Arabidopsis thaliana: one gene and its partners. The protein of the gene in region 1 interacts with the protein of each later gene in a pairwise test. Each region holds a gene or a part of one and is shown in the gene's direction. Other genes may lie near its edges. The genes, in order: FER, SAM-2 and SAM1.

Evidence for each region.
Region 2: the proteins of FER (region 1) and SAM-2 interact in a two-hybrid assay, tested with the Arabidopsis thaliana proteins (one study listed by BioGRID).
Region 3: the proteins of FER (region 1) and SAM1 interact in a two-hybrid assay, tested with the Arabidopsis thaliana proteins (one study listed by BioGRID).

The regions. Positions count from the first base shown.
Region 1 is NC_003074.8:19,117,069-19,124,799, reverse strand, and holds FER (Malectin/receptor-like protein kinase family protein), read left to right. Parts: upstream 1-3,850; 5' UTR 3,851-4,020; intron 4,021-4,195; 5' UTR 4,196-4,235; coding exon 4,236-6,923; 3' UTR 6,924-7,216; downstream 7,217-7,731. Other genes in the region: AT3G51560 (Disease resistance protein (TIR-NBS-LRR class) family), read left to right, coding at 1-445, 534-830, 912-2,285, 2,372-2,992; AT3G51540 (mucin-5AC-like protein), read right to left, coding at 7,590-7,731. UniProt on the Arabidopsis thaliana protein: Receptor-like protein kinase that mediates the female control of male gamete delivery during fertilization, including growth cessation of compatible pollen tubes ensuring a reproductive isolation barriers, by regulating MLO7 subcellular polarization upon pollen tube perception in the female gametophyte synergids.
Region 2 is NC_003075.7:794,253-801,983, reverse strand, and holds SAM-2 (S-adenosylmethionine synthetase 2), read left to right. Parts: upstream 1-3,602; 5' UTR 3,603-3,785; intron 3,786-4,495; 5' UTR 4,496-4,504; coding exon 4,505-5,686; 3' UTR 5,687-5,998; downstream 5,999-7,731. Other genes in the region: AT4G01860 (Transducin family protein / WD-40 repeat family protein), read left to right, coding at 1-115, 211-271; KCO5 (Ca2+ activated outward rectifying K+ channel 5), read right to left, coding at 7,051-7,198, 7,503-7,731. UniProt on the Arabidopsis thaliana protein: Catalyzes the formation of S-adenosylmethionine from methionine and ATP. The reaction comprises two steps that are both catalyzed by the same enzyme: formation of S-adenosylmethionine (AdoMet) and triphosphate, and subsequent hydrolysis of the triphosphate.
Region 3 is NC_003070.9:513,826-521,556, forward strand, and holds SAM1 (S-adenosylmethionine synthetase 1), read left to right. Parts: upstream 1-4,265; 5' UTR 4,266-4,553; intron 4,554-5,207; exon of another isoform or gene 5,208-5,210; 5' UTR 5,211-5,211; coding exon 5,212-6,393; 3' UTR 6,394-6,670; downstream 6,671-7,731. Other genes in the region: AT1G02475 (Polyketide cyclase/dehydrase and lipid transport superfamily protein), read right to left, coding at 285-359, 446-493, 597-645, 728-780, 880-975, 1,067-1,166, 1,268-1,506; AT1G02490 (uncharacterized protein), read left to right, coding at 2,793-2,909; TPK4 (Outward rectifying potassium channel protein), read right to left, coding at 6,862-6,979, 7,065-7,731. UniProt on the Arabidopsis thaliana protein: Catalyzes the formation of S-adenosylmethionine from methionine and ATP. The reaction comprises two steps that are both catalyzed by the same enzyme: formation of S-adenosylmethionine (AdoMet) and triphosphate, and subsequent hydrolysis of the triphosphate.

The DNA.
Region 1 (7,731 bases):
ATCAAAGAAAGTGATTGATTATGCTAATGGAAATCCTTTAGCTCTGATTTTTTTTGGATGTATGTCAAGGAAGAATCCTAAACCTATAGAGATTGCATTCCCCAAAGTCAAGAAATATCTGGCACATGAGATTCATGATGCAGTCAAGAGTACATATGATTCGCTTAGTTCCAACGAGAAGAACATATTTCTTGATATTGCGTGTCTTTTCAGAGGAGAAAATGTCGACTGTGTAATACATCTGCTTGAGGGATGTGGTTTCTTTCCACGTGTTGAAATCAATGTTCTTGTTGAGAAGTGTTTGGTGAGTATGGCAGAAGGCAGGGTTGTGATGCATAATTTGATCCAATCCATAGGTCGCAAAATTATCAATGGAGGAAAGAGGCGTTCCAGACTGTGGAAACCTTTGATAATTAAGTATTTTCTAGAAGATAGACAAGTTTTGGTATGTTGAATTCTGTTATTTTCCCACAAAGCTCAATATTGGAATTTGAGCCAAGTTCTTGATCCATCTATTTCCCTTGTTGTTTCAGGGTAGTGAAGATATTGAAGCCATATTTCTGGACCCATCTGCCTTAAGCTTTGATGTCAATCCTATGGCGTTTGAGAATATGTATAATCTTAGATATCTGAAGATTTGCAGTTCCAATCCTGGAAACCATTATGCTCTACACCTTCCCAAGGGCGTCAAATCCCTACCGGAGGAGTTAAGGTTACTGCACTGGGAACATTTTCCATTGTTATCCTTACCACAAGATTTTAACACTAGAAATCTTGTTATACTCAACATGTGTTACAGTAAACTTCAGAGACTTTGGGAAGGAACCAAGGTAAGAAAGTCTATATGCATTTGAAAACCAATTACTATTTTGCGTCTCTGTTGTTATTTTTTTAACAATTTGTTTTTCCAGGAACTTGGGATGCTGAAGAGGATCATGCTTTGTCATTCACAACAGCTAGTTGGTATTCAAGAACTCCAAATTGCTCTAAATATGGAGGTAATTGATCTCCAAGGTTGTGCAAGACTACAAAGATTTCTAGCAACAGGTCATTTCCAGCATCTTCGGGTGATAAATCTCTCTGGTTGCATAAAGATCAAAAGTTTCCCAGAGGTTCCACCTAATATTGAGGAGCTGTATCTCAAACAAACTGGCATAAGATCAATACCAACTGTGACCTTCTCTCCACAAGATAACTCATTTATTTATGATCATAAAGATCACAAATTCTTGAATCGGGAGGTCTCGTCTGATTCGCAAAGTCTGTCAATCATGGTTTATCTAGACAACCTCAAAGTTCTTGATCTTTCTCAATGCTTAGAGCTTGAGGATATTCAGGGTATACCAAAAAACCTAAGAAAGTTATATCTTGGTGGTACAGCCATAAAAGAACTGCCTTCGCTCATGCATCTTTCTGAACTGGTTGTATTAGATTTGGAGAACTGCAAACGCCTTCACAAGTTACCAATGGGAATAGGTAACTTGAGTTCTCTTGCGGTGTTAAATCTCTCTGGATGCTCAGAACTTGAGGATATTCAAGGTATCCCAAGAAACTTGGAAGAGTTATATCTTGCTGGCACCGCTATACAGGAAGTGACATCGTTAATCAAGCATCTCTCAGAACTTGTAGTTTTAGATTTACAGAATTGCAAAAGGCTTCAACATCTTCCAATGGAGATTAGTAACTTAAAATCTCTTGTCACACTTAAGCTAACGGATCCATCTGGGATGTCCATAAGAGAAGTATCAACATCAATTATCCAGAATGGTATATCAGAAATTGGCATCAGTAATTTGAATTATCTTCTCTTGACTTTCAATGAGAATGCAGAGCAGCGTAGAGAATATTTGCCTCGACCAAGGCTGCCATCTTCAAGTTTACATGGCTTGGTCCCAAGATTTTATGCCCTAGTATCTTTATCCCTCTTCAATGCATCCTTGATGCATATACCGGAAGAGATTTGTTCCTTGCCTTCAGTAGTGCTGTTGGATCTTGGTCGGAATGGTTTCAGCAAAATCCCTGAAAGCATAAAGCAGTTATCTAAACTACATAGCCTTAGATTAAGACATTGTAGAAACCTCATATTGCTTCCGGCGCTTCCCCAAAGCCTGAAACTGTTGAACGTGCATGGTTGTGTGTCTCTAGAGTCAGTTTCTTGGGGATTTGAGCAGTTTCCTAGTCATTACACCTTCAGCGATTGCTTCAATAAGTCTCCAAAAGTGGCTAGAAAACGAGTTGTAAAAGGCCTGGCTAAAGTAGCAAGCATTGGCAACGAACATCAGCAGGTAACTCTCTCGTTCTCATGTCCCTTCTTTCTCACTCATACATACTTTAGCGTATATGTAATTTTCCTTTTTCTTGTTGGGACCAGGAACTCATCAAAGCACTTGCATTCAGCATTTGCGGGCCTGCAGGAGCAGATCAGGCAACCTCTTATAATTTGCGGGCAGGTTCATTTGCAACGATAGAGATAACTCCTTCCCTGCGAAAGACACTCTTGGGGTTTGCTATCTTCGTTGTAGTATCGTTTTCGGATGATAGTCACAACAACGCTGGGCTTGGCGTTAGGTGCGTAAGCAGATGGAAGACAAAGAAAAGGGTGGTCACTGGTAAAGCAGAGAAAGTGTTTAGGTGTTGGGCTCCGAGAGAAGCTCCTGAGGTTCAAAGGGATCACATGTTTGTGTTTTATGAGGATGCCGAAATGCATCGAGGTGGTGGTGAGGGAAACAAACCAAATATAATGGCTGATCACGTTGAATTTGAATTCCAAGCAGTAAATGGAAGAAACAAGGTCTTAGGCGGTAATTGCATGGTGACAGAATGTGATGTTTGTGTTATAACAGCTGCAACTGGTGCGGCGAGTCTGAGTGTAACAAATGCAAGTAAGGATATGAGTTTAAGTAAGAATCATTCTCCGAAGCTTTCAAGTGTGATTGGTAAGCTTCGATTTAAGCGAGTTGGTAGGTTTGGTGGTTGTGTTTGCCTAGAGTGAAGAAAAGTTAAGAGTGGGAACTGGGAAGAGTGTATGTATGTGACTCGTCTCATGCGTGCCCAAATGCGAAGTAGCAGAAACATGTATGTTTGAAATGTAATTTTTATTATTTAAAATTGGCATAAACAAAAAAAAATGTGTTGTCTGAAAGAGAATTAATGATATGTTAATGTAAATATTTAGTGCATGTTTGATGTAATGGTTTAAAGTTTTATTTTATTTTGAAAGACTGAGAAAACAAGGATCACAAACTCTGTTTTGAATCAAGAAGGTGTAGACCAAAAAAATTGCACACGTTCGGCCTTAACCACGGTTTATTTGTATTCAAGGTTACTTGGATTTGACATCGGAGATCAAGGTTACTCCTTACCTTAGACATGATCGATCAAAAGGAGGCTACGCCGATTGTCATAAACATATATCATGTGCACGTTAGATAAGGCCCACTTATAACTGGGCCATAGGAGATAAACTGAAATCAGAGTAAAAAGCCCATGATTACGTAAACTATCCTAACTAACTAACGAGTTATTATCAAAGCAGGCCCCATTCTTTCCCTTTATAGTATAATATAGAGTACCAGCTCAGCCACGAGCAGTCACCACCGCACACAAAAATACGCGTTTCATAAAATTCTCTTGTCTTTTCTTTAGTTTAATGGATTTACTCTCTCACATTTTATGAACTGTCATCCAAACCATACCAATCAACATTATCCTTCGAATGGTCAAGACATATATAATTCCAGCTGTTGATACTCAAAGGTCATTATCGTCACTTCACCCACCTTCAAGCCGGCTTCAATTAATTAAACCCGATAACTATATCTTAATTTAATCTTATTGAAATTAAAATAACGTTAACGCGTAGAGGGAAGCAACAATGCTTGTCCGTTTTGTCGTCGTCTTGACTATACTTACCTCTCCACTCATTAATTGATTTTCTCTCTCTCTCCCCCAAAATATCTCTGTCTTCTCCAAAAACTCTCTCCGATTTCATCGCTTAGGGTTTCTTCCCCGATTCTTCAGGTATGTAATCATCATCATCATCTTCCTCACTTCACTCTCCCTTACTACTGTATTCAAACTTCAATTTCATCTGTTTCTTAAGCTCAATTTTCGTAACCAAACGAACATGTACCTCTAGCACTTTCCATTTTTAGATCTGTGAAGTTTATAGTTTCGATTTTCTTTCGTTTGATAGATCTGAGAAGAAGATCTTCCCGGAGAAGTGCTCTTGATCGATGAAGATCACAGAGGGACGATTCCGTCTCTCTCTTCTTCTTCTTCTTCTTCTCATATCTGCAGCAACTTTAATCTCAGCTGCTGATTACTCTCCAACAGAGAAAATCCTATTGAATTGCGGTGGTGGTGCTTCTAATCTAACCGACACAGATAACCGTATATGGATCTCCGATGTCAAATCAAAATTCTTATCATCTTCCTCTGAAGACTCTAAAACATCACCAGCGTTAACACAAGATCCTTCCGTTCCCGAAGTTCCTTACATGACGGCGAGAGTTTTCCGATCTCCTTTCACTTACACTTTCCCTGTAGCATCAGGTCGTAAATTCGTGCGTCTCTACTTCTACCCAAACTCGTACGACGGTCTCAACGCTACCAACTCGTTATTCTCCGTCTCCTTTGGTCCTTACACTCTTCTCAAGAATTTCAGTGCTTCTCAGACGGCGGAGGCGTTGACTTACGCTTTCATCATCAAGGAGTTTGTTGTCAACGTTGAAGGTGGAACGTTGAACATGACGTTTACACCGGAATCAGCTCCGTCTAATGCGTATGCGTTTGTTAATGGGATTGAGGTTACTTCAATGCCTGATATGTATAGTAGTACTGATGGGACTTTGACTATGGTTGGATCATCTGGCTCTGTTACTATTGATAACAGTACTGCTCTTGAGAATGTGTATAGGCTCAATGTTGGAGGGAATGATATCTCGCCTTCCGCGGATACGGGTTTGTATAGGTCGTGGTATGATGATCAGCCTTATATATTTGGTGCAGGACTTGGTATTCCAGAGACTGCTGATCCCAACATGACGATTAAGTATCCTACGGGGACTCCTACTTATGTTGCTCCTGTGGATGTTTATTCAACCGCGAGGTCTATGGGTCCAACAGCTCAGATCAATCTCAACTACAATCTTACTTGGATTTTCAGCATTGACTCTGGTTTCACTTACCTTGTTAGACTTCATTTCTGTGAGGTTTCTTCGAATATCACTAAGATCAACCAACGGGTGTTTACAATCTACCTCAACAATCAAACTGCTGAGCCTGAAGCTGATGTGATTGCTTGGACTAGTTCAAACGGGGTTCCGTTTCACAAGGATTACGTGGTGAATCCTCCAGAGGGAAATGGACAGCAAGATTTGTGGCTTGCTCTTCATCCTAACCCAGTTAACAAGCCGGAGTATTATGATTCTCTTCTTAATGGAGTGGAGATATTCAAGATGAATACTTCTGATGGTAATCTGGCTGGTACCAATCCTATACCTGGTCCACAGGTGACTGCTGATCCATCTAAAGTCCTACGCCCGACTACTAGGAAATCGAAAAGCAATACGGCTATTATTGCAGGCGCAGCCAGTGGTGCAGTTGTTCTGGCCCTTATCATTGGGTTTTGTGTGTTTGGTGCTTACCGCAGACGTAAGCGTGGTGATTACCAGCCTGCTAGTGATGCAACATCAGGGTGGCTTCCACTATCTCTGTATGGAAACTCACATTCTGCTGGCTCGGCGAAGACAAACACAACAGGAAGTTATGCCTCGTCCCTTCCGTCAAATCTTTGCCGTCACTTCTCGTTTGCTGAGATCAAAGCTGCCACTAAAAACTTTGATGAGTCCCGGGTGCTTGGTGTTGGTGGTTTCGGCAAGGTTTACAGAGGAGAGATTGATGGCGGAACTACAAAGGTAGCCATCAAGAGAGGCAACCCAATGTCCGAGCAAGGTGTACATGAGTTCCAGACTGAGATTGAAATGCTTTCAAAGCTTAGACATCGTCATCTTGTGTCCTTGATTGGATACTGTGAAGAGAACTGCGAAATGATCTTAGTCTATGATTACATGGCTCATGGTACAATGAGGGAGCATCTCTACAAAACCCAGAATCCTTCTCTTCCATGGAAGCAACGTCTTGAGATATGCATTGGAGCAGCCCGAGGTTTACACTATCTACACACTGGTGCAAAACACACAATCATCCATAGAGATGTGAAGACAACAAACATTCTATTGGATGAGAAATGGGTGGCCAAGGTCTCTGATTTTGGTCTATCGAAGACTGGTCCTACACTAGACCACACACACGTAAGCACAGTTGTGAAAGGAAGTTTCGGTTATCTTGACCCAGAGTATTTCAGACGGCAGCAACTGACTGAGAAATCCGATGTCTACTCCTTTGGCGTTGTTCTATTCGAAGCTCTATGCGCTCGTCCAGCCTTGAACCCAACACTTGCAAAGGAACAAGTGAGCTTAGCTGAGTGGGCACCATACTGCTACAAGAAAGGCATGCTAGATCAAATCGTTGATCCCTACCTCAAGGGCAAGATCACACCAGAATGCTTCAAAAAGTTTGCTGAAACCGCGATGAAGTGTGTTCTAGACCAGGGCATTGAGAGACCATCAATGGGAGATGTTCTGTGGAACTTAGAATTTGCGTTGCAGCTCCAGGAAAGCGCAGAAGAGAACGGAAAAGGAGTATGCGGTGACATGGACATGGATGAGATTAAGTACGATGATGGAAACTGTAAAGGAAAGAACGACAAGAGTTCTGATGTGTATGAAGGGAATGTGACGGACTCGAGGAGCAGTGGAATAGATATGAGCATCGGTGGTAGGAGTTTGGCCAGCGAAGATTCAGATGGACTCACTCCAAGTGCTGTGTTTTCTCAGATCATGAATCCAAAGGGACGTTAGAGAAGTCTTATAACACGGTACAACACTACTACCTTTCTAAACCGGCTCCATCCAAAGGAGACCGGTTCGTTTCTCTTTTTTATATTTTTTTTCCTCTTAACTATTTATTATTATTCTCTTTGCTGTTATTTATTTAGAATTTTGGATTTGTGTATTTGATGCCACGATGGAGAGTGTAAAAAATAATGTATTTTTTTTTCTTCTTTCTACAAAAACATTAAACATGAATCGCGTCAATGTACTATTTGGTTTGTTATCTATAACGTTTTTGGTAATTGTTGCATCTTTACTCTATTACACGTCGTACTCTTATGAACAAACTAGTACCCATTTATTACAAAGTCGTACTCTTATGAACATAAACGGAAGTACATCAATCACTTCTCTGTTTTACTATATAGACGCATTTTAACGGAATCCTACCAATAGTGTCTTTTCTTGCAAATATTTTGATTTAAACAAGAAGGGTCAAAGTTGTATATTTCTGCTGATCAATACAAACAAACACTTTGAAAGAAAAAAACAACGAGTAGAAGAACTATGTGTAATGTTTTTCTCTTGATTGCATAAGAATTTAAAAAGAGTGAAACAGGATTATTTTTCCAAGCAGCTCTCTTGTTTTTAACTACAACAAACAGGAAAGAAAACTCAAAAGGAGTCAGAGTCTCAGAGAGGAGAGAATAGATCAGGAGGAGAGTCAAAAGCATTGTCGAAGATGAGAGATTGAGGAGATTCATCATCAATGTTAAGTAGCCAGTTTGTATCCTTGACATCTTTAACATTCAAGAGTGCGTCGTAACGAGCACTA
Region 2 (7,731 bases), on another chromosome or scaffold:
TTGATCAACGTGTTCGATGTTGGTTTCTCGAAAAAGATGGTAAACTGATCGAGCACGCTCATATAGTCATCAGCGTGCCCGAGCCAGAGGCACTAGATGCTAAAGCCATTGATGAGTAAGTAATATGCACTCATACTTCCATGGTCCATAAAACAAAAACAAAACTTTTATATCTCACATACCAAATCTGTATACTTGATCTATCTGCAGAAACCGATACCAAATAGCTGTTGCGGGACGCGGGATCCAAATGGTTGAATTCTCCGGTTAACAAAAGCTTGGTTCAGAACCCTGTTTTTGATTCCAGTTTTTGAGGTAATTTGTCCTAAGCTACCCTCTGGCTCTGCTAGTATTTATTTACAACAGTGAGACCTGTAATTTTTACCAAACCAATTTTGAGTACTCGGTCAGAGTAAACCGTTTTTGATTCTTGGTTCAGTTTGATCTGAGAACTGAGCTTTTGTCGGTGCTCTACTTTTTTTGTTTTTGGCCGAAGTCGGTGCTCTGCTAAATTCTGGTATGTATCATGTTTCTGAACCCAATTTGATAGTAACGTTATTATTGCTCAAGATTTTGGTTATGGAATTGTGCCAATGTGGGACCTTTATGAGAGAAATATCAACACTTCACATGACCTTATTTAATTCTAATCAACTAATTCGGCTGATTAATAGTAATCAACTTCTTTACAGATTTGATATCATTTGATGTGATCATTAAATTTGTGATACATCCGTCAAAGTTCGATTTATATATATAGTAGATCATATACTATTTCATACATATATAATTGTTTATGAGAATTCGATTTCATTCTACGTTTTTGATAAGATTAATATTGTAACTACAGTATTATGTGACTTTCTTACGAGACGAAAGTTTACTGTTGTTTTTTTGTACTTGTCTCTGTTTTGAATCACTTCTAATAATTGAATCAAGATATTGCCCACTTAATAATCAATCATTTACGTGGTCGGTGACCAGATCTATGATTCTCTTTAAGAAATAAAAAAAAAATCATGTTTATTTCAAATGCATGATCAAGAGAAGGAATAACAAAAAACTCTTCGCATATTCTTCAAAAAATTGTTGGCTGATCAATAAAAGTATTCTTAAATTTGTGTGTTTTAGAATTTAGTTTAAGGATACAAAATCTTCACATCTTTTCACTAATTTTATACACCCAAGAAACACTCATTGATGATATTATTTTAAGATTCACTAACGGTCGACTGTATCGTGCTTCCATACTATATGGTCGCTCTTAATTGAGGTGTCGGTTCAATTGTGATGATTATTATATTCTAACACTACCTAATTATACAAATTCTTAATTTTATTTACAAAATATAAGACACTTGAAGATTTGCATATGGAATAGTAGTCGTGAAATTCAACGTTCTTAATTACTTATTTAAAGTTATCGGATCGGAGACGCCATTTCATGAAACTAACAAATGTCGTAAACTCGTAATAGATATTAGATAGTTCAAGACTGGTAAAAAAAAAAAAAAAATGGAAGTTGAACACAGGTCAAAACTTATATGTACGTGTATTTGTTTTGCATGAGTTTCACATGCATACAAATACAATTTTTTCAACTACCTCCTTCTCATCGCAGTTTCCTCACACGACCTAGAATTTTCGACGATTTTTGGGCTTAAACAATTATTCACTAACACTTAAAGTTGACTGGTAAATCAATTCATTAATTATATTATCCACAAAGCAAGTTGTGAGTTATCCATAAAAACAAATGAAGCATTTATCTTCCAACGGCTCAACTTCCATAAAATTCATGTTCGCAAACCACAAAATCTGTGAAGCACTGTTTATCAAGATGCATACTCACTTACATAATTAATTAGTCGGATAGTTGATTATCCAGCGCTAAATCTAAGTAGGAAAATAAATGTGTTTGCAACAATTATAGTACACGATTTAATCAGCAACATAATTTTTTTGATAAATTCTTGATAAAGTCACTTAATCTTTAACTTTAAACCAACTACGGACTTGCATTCAAAAAAAAAAAAAATTGTTATCCAAATGAAATTAAAATTATCATGGAGGAGTATTTGGTATTTTACAAAGTTAAAACGGAGGAAGACTTTGTATATAATCTCAACTTTTGCTCAAACACAAACTGCACTTTATGTAAACCAGTTTTTTTTGAATAATTTTACATAATATTCAAAAAACAAAAAAAAAACAGAGGAAAATATGATTTTTGTTGGAGACTAAAGTCTTATGAAAAAAGCATCAATTCTAAAAGCTTCCTTTAAATCATGATATAAGTAAAAATTAGAAAATGTAATGTCGTCTTCATTTGATTTTTCTTTACAAAAAAAAACAAATTAGTAACGTTTATCATGCCTTTAACAAAAACACATTGTTCTCCTAAAATAAAGAATGGCTAGGTGCATTACCAACCCCACTACAGCAATACACACGAATCAGCCATTAAGCCGAGCCGAATTAGTCTCACGAAACCTGTACCATTTGTTGAGCTACCGGCACCTCCCGGTTTGTTACATTAATTTTTTCTTTTTGTCAGACATACACTAATTAATTCAGAGATTCGCTCGATTACAAACTTTAATGATAAGTTAGTAGTTTAATCATGGTAGGTTAATTATTGTGGTAATATATAGCGTGATACTTATTGATTTTTCCCTAAATATAGTGTGAAAAGAAAATATGATTGAGTGAGGTAGGTTAAATCTATCGAAATAGTTTAATCAGAGATCCAATGGTCATCATTTTTTCCTCAACAACAAACATAATTATTTATAGGAATGTTTGATAATATGTTCACAGTTCACCTACCAAAACTATGTCATGAAAGTTTATGTTCTACCTTTTAATTGGCCTCACCTTATTATACTAGTCTTTTATTTTCTTTCCAATGATCTTATGATTAGTCTCGTATTCATTTTCCTAACTAATTTTATTTTATTTTTGAAAATGAAATAAGTTCTAATCTTAGTTATATGTCCATCATTAGGCAAGAAGATTCTACATATATATATACTTTACCAACTTTATTGTTTCATATAAATATTTTAAGGTTCTACTTTTCTGTATCATTTTAGACAATGTTTTAGAGAAAAAAAATTGTTTCAGTTTAAGTGATGTTTGCAACTTTTAATGCAACATTTTTTTCCAGCATATTTTATAATTGGTTGAAACAATTTAATTTAATTTAAATTTGGTGTTTTCTTAACTTGTATATAAAAACCTTAAATGTCAATTGAAATGATAGAGAGAGACATTACTATATTATTGTGAAAAAGTATCACTATTTCTAAAGAATTGTTCTAGTAAAAATTGGTATTAGTTAATTTTCAGACCATCATAAAAAAGATGATTTAGATTAGTGACAAAGAATAATCCTTCAAAAATACATATTTCGACACAAGTATACTTGGTATCAAAATCTGTAAAAAAAAAATCAGAGCCATGACCAAATACAATATGTTAAGTTCATGTGACGTGAGATAATAAATTGATTTGATTCACTTTCCAATTGTGTTTATAATTAACGCATTAAAAACACTAAAAAGCAAATAAATAAATGTAGCCGAATAAGCCGATGGAAGTAAGAATTGAAGTCCAAAAGCAAAAACCTATAGATCCGGTGGACAGTCAACAGTGTCATTTAATCCCTATAAATAGCTCACTCCCTTGTCATCCACAAATCGTCCCCGTCTCGTTTCCTTCTTCGCTCGCTGTTCAGATTTTGCTTTGAGGCTTTAGGCTCCCCAGATCTCTAATCGCCGCAGGTTTCGCTCTTCTTCTCCGTCTTATTGATTTCGAGTTTTTAGGCGATGCTTTTACGGGTTTTGTTGTTAAATCTGAAACGAAATGAGATTTTTCTATGGGTTTCGATTCAGATTTGATAATATTCGAACCTTCTACGCCTGTTATTATAATTAGATCTGCGATAGTGTGTGACTATTGAAATGAGATTCTCAAGTTCTTAGGTTATATCGTTTGTGATTTATACAGATTTAAAACGTATGTGGATCCGTTAATTTTCCAGTGCTGTGTAGCAGATCTGCTTAATAGGTTTATCTTTTTTGCAAATGATTTTGATTTTCGCATCGATCGTGTACTCTATGTAGTAGTAGTAGTATATGATTTGATAAATGTAGTAGTAGTAGTATATGATCGTGTACTGAGCCATAAATGAGCCTTCCTCGTTAATTATTGTCCATGAATTGTTAGTTAAGCTTGAAAGTTCCTTAAACGTTTAATTAGATCCTTATCACTGACTGTTCCACTATGAATATCAGAAGAATCGAATCTCTTTGGATGAGATGCGTCTGTTTTTATGCTATTCCACAATGATTTGGAATCTTTCTTAGCTTTTTATGTCACTTGAGTGTGGAATCTTTTTTTTTTGTTCTCTTCCTTTCAATTGTAAAAAGTTTGTTATATGTGTATGATTTTTATGTGGTTGCTGATTCAATTTTTCTTTTTGTTGTTATAGCTTTAAGAAATGGAGACTTTCCTATTCACATCTGAGTCTGTGAACGAAGGACACCCTGACAAGCTTTGCGACCAGATCTCTGATGCAGTCCTTGATGCCTGCCTTGAGCAAGACCCTGATAGCAAAGTTGCTTGTGAGACATGCACCAAGACCAACATGGTCATGGTTTTCGGTGAGATCACCACCAAGGCTACGATTGACTACGAGAAGATTGTCCGTGACACTTGCCGTTCCATTGGATTCATCTCTGACGATGTTGGTCTTGATGCTGACAAATGCAAAGTCCTTGTTAACATTGAACAACAGAGCCCAGACATTGCTCAAGGTGTTCACGGTCACTTCACCAAACGTCCAGAAGACATTGGAGCTGGTGACCAAGGACACATGTTTGGTTATGCCACTGATGAAACCCCTGAGCTCATGCCTTTGAGTCATGTCCTTGCAACCAAGATTGGTGCTCGTCTCACTGAAGTCAGGAAGAATGGAACTTGCCGTTGGTTAAGACCAGATGGCAAGACCCAAGTCACTGTTGAGTACTACAATGACAATGGCGCTATGGTTCCAGTCCGTGTCCACACCGTCCTGATCTCAACCCAGCACGATGAAACCGTTACCAATGACGAGATTGCGCGTGACCTCAAGGAGCATGTGATCAAACCAATCATCCCAGAGAAATACCTTGACGACAAAACCATCTTCCACCTCAACCCATCAGGCCGGTTTGTGATCGGGGGACCACACGGTGATGCTGGTTTAACTGGACGTAAGATCATCATTGACACATACGGAGGATGGGGAGCTCATGGAGGTGGTGCTTTCTCAGGCAAAGACCCAACCAAAGTCGACAGAAGTGGAGCTTACATCGTGAGGCAAGCAGCAAAGAGTGTGGTGGCTAATGGCATGGCTCGCAGGGCTCTTGTCCAGGTCTCATACGCCATTGGAGTACCCGAGCCATTGTCTGTCTTCGTTGACACTTACGGAACAGGGTTGATTCCAGACAAGGAGATCCTGAAGATCGTGAAAGAGACATTCGATTTCAGACCAGGAATGATGACAATCAACTTGGACTTGAAGAGAGGAGGAAATGGAAGGTTTCAGAAAACGGCAGCGTATGGACATTTCGGAAGAGACGACCCTGACTTCACCTGGGAGGTCGTGAAGCCACTCAAGTGGGACAAACCTCAAGCTTAAACTTGATTTTATGTTTCTTCTGTCTTTTTACTTTAAACATCTACCATGGACCAATAATCAAATCCCTCTGTTTCTTTTTTCTTGTATTATTGATATGAAAGTTTCTGGTTTGTTTAAACAACTACCATAGACCAATTTTCTCTTTCACTATAAATTGTAGTAGTTGAAATTTGTGTTCTACATTTTGGGACTTCATGCGATAAAGTGTATATCTATCGAATATTGAAAACTATCTCTGTCAGAAATACGAAAATACACGTATTGTCTTTGAGTACAACACGAAACAACAAATCATCCTCAACAAAAAATGACACTGCTAAATATATTTTAAAAACACAGATCATAATCATACATTTGATCAGTTCAAAGGTAGTGGATATATAGAAGTGGAACCCATTTACATTGCCTTTATGAGATTCTTTGTTGTCGGTTCATAAGATACGTCCGAAAACAACAATATTAATTCAAACTTTAAATTATCTTAAGAGATGATCGAAATAACTATAAAAAGTCAATTCCTACATTTTTCTTCTTCTTTCAAAGCTAAAGTATTCAGCTAAAACATTTAAAGAAAACACTAAAAAGTTTCTTCTCAATTCTCATATGTAGTCATTATCCGAGTAGTATCACTCAACAACTCTCAACTTGTTTTGTTTTAATGATAAATTGATATGCAGAAGCAGAATAACCAATACCAATCTGTGTTAAACTGATTATCTGATTCTATAATCAATCTTACCGGTTTAATAATCATTTTAGACTAAAAAAATTTGTGCATGGACTAGGATTGATGACTTAGTCAATCGACCTTTCTACTGAATCAAGAGACAAAAAGCGTCAGCTTTCTACTGACTGATCTCACAAGTGAAAGATTAGTTTGTCCATATCATTTTTAATTTTCTTAATTATATATCTCACCAAACTCAAATGAATGTCTCAGTCTCTTTGTTCATTGTCATCTCATAAAAAAAGATATACATGAAAATATCTCGACATGTTCATTATTTTGAAAGATAAATAAAGAAAATTGTTACGGACTTTGGAGATTACGTGTCTCGGCCCAAAACCTCTTGATATTAAAAAAATAATAAAAAATAAAATAAAATAAAGAAAATTGTTAACAACCTTGCCCGAGCATCTGATTAGCGCTTAGCGAATATCTTTGAACATAATTTTTTTATAGAGAGCAAAAATAAAGCATATACATTTTCATATTATCTCTTATAAACTGAGAGATAATTCTTTGTATGAATCACTGTTGCTACATATATTCAGTTATTTTTCTTTAAAAAGGAATTAAAAAAAGAGAAGATAATTGAATAAGAAGAAAACCTAAAAAAGCAGAGACAGAGAATGTTCTTCTGTCACAAAGGATCCCCCAAAAGATCAGGTAATGTGATTTTTCCTATTTGATTAGGATCAAGTTTCTCGAACTGAATCACAACTTGGTCAATGTCTTTCTGAGTGATCTTCCCCATTTCCTTAAGCTTCAACACTATATACTCTGATTTACTGAAACACACACCAAAACCAAATCAAAACATAAAAAAAAAAGTCAAAACACTAATCACTCAAACTTAAATCATTGAAATTAGATTACACAAAGACATAACTAAACTGTTGCTTGCAAGAAAAAGTCTTAACATTAACATGATTAATCTAAAGCTTAACACTCTCTGCAACTTATTTGACCTAAACTTCACACAAATTGCATAAAACCCTTTATCAGAATCAGCTCAAATCACTCTCATCTCTAAGCAATTAATCCAAGATTCTAAAAAAAAAAACAAAGTTGAGGTTTTTAAAAGATGTTAACCTGATGAAACCATGTTGATAAGTATCAGCTTTGAGCAAATCATCAACAGTGATTTCTCTATTCAACGCCAATTTAACAGCTTTCCGATGCCGGCGATCAATTCTCGCTTCCGCCAAATACAAAAACGCACGCGCCACCGCAAGAGTCGAAACAAGTAGCCAAACCGCCGCAAAAAGCCTCCCTTGAAGCGTTTTAAAAGCACGATCACCATAACCAACAGTAGTCACCG
Region 3 (7,731 bases), on another chromosome or scaffold:
TTTCACTCAAATCAAAAACAAGATTTCTGGTTGGTTTATTGAGTTTCTCTTTTTCTTGGTGACCTAAACCACACAACTTCTGTTATGATAGAAAGAAATATTTGTCACTTTAATCATACAAAAGTTACAATAGAGATCTCCCTAATTATGAGATCTGGTATAGTTTTCAAATCACGTATATACCAAGAGAAAGATGCATACATATATTCCTGCAAAAGCAAAGTGTTGATTTTTCAGATAATGAAATGGTTTAAGTGGAGTTTAGAATAAAAAAGCTAACCTTTTTAAGTAGTTTTGGCCAAGGCTGCAAATCGTTCAAGTCCACCTCTAAGCAAGCTTTCTATAAAAGGCCGTAGTACCTGAATTGGGGAAAGTTAAGGTAATAAGAAAAACAGTCTGTGACATTCAGCTTGACATAGAGACTTTAAGGTAAAAAGATACGCACCGATGCCACAGGGGTTAATAGGGCAGGGACTTCATATGATACGGTTAGCTAAAAGATGAAACAAATTTGCAAGAAAAAAGGAAAAGCATTAGAGAACTATTCTAGTAGGATTGTGATCAAATGATGTGTGATAAAATGGAGTGTTCTTTACCTCTACGATGCACGATGAAGGACCTTTAGGAAAGAATCGAACGCTGCCTCTGCATTGGTTAAGTACCAAATGTTAGGCTCAAACAGATAATACATTAGAGTAAGATTGAACCTTTATGATCTCTTGCTTACTTATTAGGAAGACCTTCAAGAGATCTCCAATGGATTTTCTGATTAGGAGTAGGCTGCACAATAAACAACCCAACAAAAAGCCAACAGTTTTACACAATTAGTCTAAGTACCACAGAGGAGCATTGATCTAAAACAGAATGATGGATTCTTGCCTGAAGATTACGAGCAAGCCAAGAATACTTAATGTCTTGACCAAAAGCATTGTATTTGAGTGACCAACGTGATAGATCAGGCTTGTCCTTTAACACCTAACAACAGAACACAAACCGAGTTAAAATCTAAAGCAAGAAGCTTTCAAAGATTGAAACTTTGAGAGATAGATCAAAAAATCAAATCCACCTGGACAGATGAAATAAAAGGCATCCATTTAGGAAAAGATTCACGATCCAAGTAGAAATTATACGCTACTGATACTGGAACATCGACCTCCATCTTTACTCTGTTTTCTCCAAACCAACAAAGATTGAAAACAGAATCATATCAATTTCTACAAATAAAGTGGAATCGAAGCAGAGAAGAGGATAAAGGAGAGATTTTTACGAGCAGTCTTGCCACTCCATGGAAACAGAGAATCGTCGTCTCTTGGGAATGATGAATCTCGATCTGCGACTAACGGAAGAAGAGTAAGAGGAGAAGCCATTTAGGGTTTTTGGAAACAGAGGAATGAGAGAATATGAAAAGGGTTTGCGATCGAAGCAAATCGGTGATTGGATATTTGGGGTTTTACAGGTTTTGGACAAGTGATTGATCGTGTTCATGTTAATTGCTACTACAGACATTGAAGCTTCCTTAGTTTTGTCTTTGGAAGGAAAGATAAGACTAAAAACTTTAGCAACCACAAGAACTCAAATTGCTGAGTGTTACTGATTTGTCCGTATAAAATTAGAAGATAATCATGAATTTAGGGTTTGAATAAAGTGATTAATGAAACCAAAGCAAAAGCGGGGATAGCTCAGTTGGGAGAGCGTCAGACTGAAGATCTGAAGGTCGCGTGTTCGATCCACGCTCACCGCATTTTTTTAATATTGTTTATGTTTTATTCAAAGCCCATTGGATCTTTATTCTCTTTTAAATATGTGTCCATTTAGTGTGTTCTACCGAGCGCGTTTGGCCCGTATGAACGAAAGATCTGCCACAACAACTAAATTATGAAATGATAATGCAGTAGACTTTTACGAAGTGACTAAGTTAAGAATAACAGATTTACAGAATATTATTAAGGTTGATAATATCATCAAATTCTTTGAAACAAATAAGTGACCAAGAACGTGTCAATGCGCAATTCGAATCCTTAAAATAATATTTGTGAAAATAAAATAAAATTTAGCCAAGTTTTTAATCTAATATATGTCAAAACTTTATGATATCACTACAAAACTACAGACCAAAAGGACGAGATGTTCAGTTCGGTTTGACATTTTGGTTTTAAAAAAAACAAGTGGTAAATATTTAACACTTCAACTAAGTGTGGCCAAAAATTCAATTATTTTTTCGGTTGTCCGTCGTTGACCGGATTTGAAATCGTTTGGATTTAAGTGAAGATGAGTCACAACAGAGGATGGAGATCAATCCTACGATGATTGTTTGTTTGCTGAGAAGACGAGAGCATCCGGTCTAAAACGATCGTTCTGTTTAGACAAAACGAGATAATGAAAGATGAAGAATTATTTTGTTATGGTATCGAAGAAGAAGAGAGAATGATAATGGATTTAAATTTCTCAAGGAAGAAGAGAGAATGAGTGATGTTTGGAGGTCTTCATTTATAAGCATTCGCTTCTTCAAAAAAAAAAAGGAAACTTTCGATTGTTTCCTTTTCTTGTTAGGGTTGACAAAAAATAAGAAAATCTGACAACGTTCGAGAGATCTGGACCGTTTAGTTTCATCAGGTTGCAACTGTGAGATATCGGACGGTGATAATCAATTCTAAACGGTAAGTTTGTAAGATTATGCGGGACCGGGACGATCTATTTATTATACACCTCTCTGTTACAAACAAATCAGTCATATGTTTGTGGAGAACGAAAGAAGAGATGAAGATGATGGTTCTGAACCAAGCTGTTTATAAATGGAGATGATGATGTTAACTGGAACAGAGGCAGCAGTAATTGATGATCTAACAGACATTGACATCAGGCAACCAATCCTAGTCTGCGTGTGGGAGATAGAAGCGGCCTGGTTATGAGAATGTTGGAGCAATCAATTGCTTTGGTTAGGGCCAGAGCAATCATGTCATTCATCCTCAATCTTGATTCTGACCACTACATAATCTACAACTCCATGGCTCTGAGGGAAGGTGGTAGTGATGGAATCTTAATGGGCTATTTTTAACTGATTAGAAAATGGTTCTTTTTAATGTATTGGGCCACTTGGCTGAAATGGGCCTTATTGGCTATGTATCATTTTATTTCTGAGACAGACTTTTTGAAAGATAATCCTTTATGGAAAAATTGACTTTTAGAAACACAAGTTTATTTACTTACAAAAATATCCGACAACAATAGTCAATGAGGATGAGCAATTGCGCATGGGTTTTGCACACCATCGAATTTTCTTTATAAACTTAACAAAGAAAACTCTTTTTTCTCAATCACTAATCAGCTTTACTTTTCATTAGAAATCACAAAAAGTAAATAAATAAAAAATTTACTTACTGCGTAACTTATGAAGATATATTATGAGCGAGTTAGAAATACACTACCCACCTCGCCACCCAGTCACCCACTACCAAAAGAGGAGTGGCTACAAACACCTTCTAAGATGTTTGCACTTTTTGTTTCTTTTGTTTTTGAAGGATCTTATATTGTTTGTTTCATTAACAGCTTTTATATATCTGTTTCATGTAAAAGTAAAACAATAAAGTATTGATGACAAATGGTAACTCTAGTCATATATAAAATTATGAAGAATTACACACACACACACAAATAATAAAATGAAGAATATTAAGGATGTTTAGAGATTTTAATCCATTTTAAAGAATAAAGTTAAGATACGGTAGATCAAATGATGTATGTCAAAATCCTTCACCAAACCCCCCAAAGCTCTATATCATTCATTAATCAGCCGTTAAACAAAATAATCCAACGGTCACCATTAAGTCTCACCAATACCCACAATTTTTTTTGTTTGGTCATCACCAACAACCACAATTAAAAGTCTAAAATCTTCACCTACCACAAACCTCTTGCAGAGCATGAAAGTGTGTATTTTCATGTGTGCGAGTGAGTAATGAGTAATGCCTTTGTAGTAATTAAACTATTCTATTCTTTGTTTCTTAGTTGCATTGAAAACGTTTTCCTTATCTCACTTGTATCAAACCAAACGAAACTAAAAAAGACTATTGTTTGATATAATTTTTGATGTGTAACCCGGTCCAACAATTTCATATGGTATTTATTTGAATTTTTATAGTCCTTTTTTCCTAAATTACAGTCTTACAGACACAATTATTTTCTTTGAAATGAAAAATCCGATTGGTTCACGTTATATAACAAGTCGGACCAATCGGTCCCCAATAGTCAGAAAATTTTGAAAATAATGCCAAAAAATAGTAAATATTGGTAGGCCAACTCCAAAGCCAAATACATATATATTTCTTTACAAGTCCAAAGTAGGGTGGTTTAACCAAATAAACCGGTGACCAGTCATTAGTGAACCGTAAAAGGCCTATAAATAACCAACGTGTTCTGACTCACTTTCTCGTCTCAAACCGTTCCTTCTCTTTTAACACTTGTTCTTTTAAGGCAAAAAGGCTCGAGCCACAGAGATCTGAGTTTCTCTTCTTCGAGATCTGATCGCCGAATCTCATAATCTCCCATCGAAGCAGGTATTGTTCTTCGTATTCGCTTCTCGTTTCTCTCTCGATGTATTGTTCATTTTTGTTTTCCAGTTGATTTTCAAGTCTGACGTGCGTATTTTTTCCGATTTGACGATGGAAGTAGATTTAAGGGACTATTGACTGTATCTATGGTTTTTAATTAGATTTCAGCTACTCTTTAACCATTTTGTTATTGGATCAGCAGCGATTTCGTTATAGATTCTCAAAAATATTCTCAGATGTGTGGGATTTGAGTAGAGTTTATGTTGCGTTGGCATGATTTGAATAGTATGCAAGATTTTTGAGATTTTGAATTCGTTCATGTGTGTATGTGTGATTGTAGCTTGATATGATTTAACCTGTTAGTTAAATGTGCATAGACAATAAGTAACATACGAAGCGAGTCACTAAGCATAAGAGTCAACTTGTTTTGCTGAAAAGATATCACTTATGATTTTCGAATCATTTTAGCTTTTTTGTCACTTGAGCTTAATGATTCTTCTGAAATTCGATTCTTTGTTTGGTTTATGTCACATTCTTTAGAATTGAGAATCTAAGAAAAGCTTACAGGATATGGTGAAACTATTCTTTTAAGATAGCATGATGCTTCTTTTATGATTCTACAGTGGCTAAGTCATTTTTTTTTTGTTCTATTCTTTGTAGCAGAATGGAGACTTTTCTATTCACATCTGAGTCTGTAAACGAGGGACACCCAGACAAGCTCTGTGACCAGATCTCTGATGCAGTCCTCGATGCCTGCCTTGAACAAGACCCTGACAGCAAAGTTGCTTGTGAGACATGCACCAAGACCAACATGGTCATGGTCTTTGGTGAGATCACTACCAAGGCTACTGTTGACTACGAGAAGATTGTCCGTGACACCTGTCGCGCCATTGGATTTGTCTCTGATGATGTTGGTCTTGATGCTGACAAATGCAAAGTCCTAGTCAACATTGAGCAACAGAGCCCAGACATTGCTCAAGGAGTTCACGGTCACTTCACCAAATGTCCTGAAGAAATTGGAGCCGGTGACCAAGGGCACATGTTTGGTTATGCCACTGATGAAACCCCTGAGTTAATGCCCCTGAGCCATGTTCTTGCCACCAAGCTCGGTGCTCGCCTAACAGAAGTCAGAAAGAATGGTACTTGCGCCTGGCTAAGACCTGACGGCAAAACCCAAGTCACTGTTGAGTACTACAATGACAAGGGTGCCATGGTCCCAATCCGTGTCCACACAGTCCTCATCTCCACCCAACACGATGAAACTGTGACCAACGACGAAATTGCCCGTGACCTTAAGGAGCATGTCATCAAGCCAGTCATCCCAGAGAAGTACCTAGACGAGAAAACCATCTTCCACTTGAACCCTTCAGGCCGATTCGTCATCGGTGGACCCCATGGAGACGCTGGTCTCACCGGGCGTAAGATCATCATCGACACTTACGGTGGATGGGGAGCTCACGGAGGCGGTGCATTCTCAGGTAAAGACCCAACCAAGGTCGACAGAAGCGGAGCCTACATTGTGAGACAAGCAGCTAAGAGCGTTGTGGCTAACGGGATGGCTCGTAGGGCTCTTGTTCAGGTCTCATACGCCATTGGAGTCCCTGAGCCATTGTCTGTCTTTGTGGACACTTATGAGACTGGATTGATTCCAGACAAGGAGATACTAAAGATTGTGAAGGAGAGCTTCGACTTCAGACCAGGAATGATGACAATTAACCTTGACCTAAAGAGAGGAGGAAACGGAAGGTTCTTGAAAACTGCGGCTTACGGACACTTTGGAAGAGACGACCCTGACTTCACCTGGGAAGTCGTCAAGCCACTCAAGTGGGACAAACCTCAAGCTTAAATTTTACCTACTCTGTTTCTGTCTTCATTCCACAAACCAATTATCTGCTCACTTTTTTATTTCTCTGTTTTTGTGGTTTATTGTGTTTATGTATCATTGTACTTGAGCTATTTCAATTGGGTGTTTGTTTTTATGGCGACTTTTACACGGCTTGGAGTAAGTTTCATGTTGTTCTTATATAATTATAACCATGAAAAATTAATATAAACTAAAGTGTCATGAAATAGTTAAACCTACTGCCAAAAGATGTACACATATACAAAAAAAACATTTGGACTGCAGTAACAGAGTATTTTCTTCCTTTTCAAGTCCCAAGGTCAAAACAGAGTAGCATCGTCATCATCATTTTTGTGATTCTTCTATACATTTTATACTAAAATTCAAAAAGAAAAACTAACCATGTGCATCTCTGCAATTTCATATCTAGTACCAGACAAGAGTTAGGGCAATGTGATCTTTGGCAAATTGTCATGATCCGCTTGATGGCACTTCTTCAAGATTCTCGAACTCTCTTACGATCTGCTTTATATCATCCTCACTAATCCTCCCACTTTCTCTAAGCTTGAACACAATAAACTCTGATTCACTAATCACAAACCAACAACAAGAAAAATCAATCAGTAACCAAAAACAGAATTTCGAATGAAAGAAACAGAGTTGCAAATGTTTACCTCGGGGGCAATTTCATGACAGTAGTACGATCGATTCTCATCTCAGCCAAGTAAAGAAACAGAGTAGCCATTGCAATAGTTGAAAGAAGAAGCCAAAACACTGCGAAGCCTCTCCCTTCAACCGTCTTAAACGTTTTATCTCCGTAACCAACCGTCGTAACGGAGATAACCGACAAGTAAACCGAATCCAACCAATCCAATCTCTCGAAAACGTGAAGAAACAAAGCTCCACTTCCGACGCAGAGACCAACGGCGCAAAACGCTAAACAAAGTTTCCACTTTAACCTTATCTTGCCATCTTCGGCAATGTGATCTCTAATCGCTCTGTTTCTTGTCTTGTTGATTCGATCAAGAATCGCGTTTTCTTGAAGACTTAGAACGTGACTCACGACGCGGTTGAGTAGATAATCAAGAAATACGACGCCGGTTGATACCAAGACGATGGTCAAGATCTTGGTCGTTGAAGTTGACGGGACAATGTCCCCGTAACCGACTGTAGAGAATGTGACGATGGAGAAATAGAAAGCGTCGACGAAAAGATTGGTCTCGGTTCCGGAGAATTGGTCTCGAAAGAATGAGTATGTGCAAACCCCGAAGGTTAAGTAGACCAAGAGGAGGATCATGGCTAGTACAAGAATGGTCCATTTCGATTTTGATACGGTGGTGA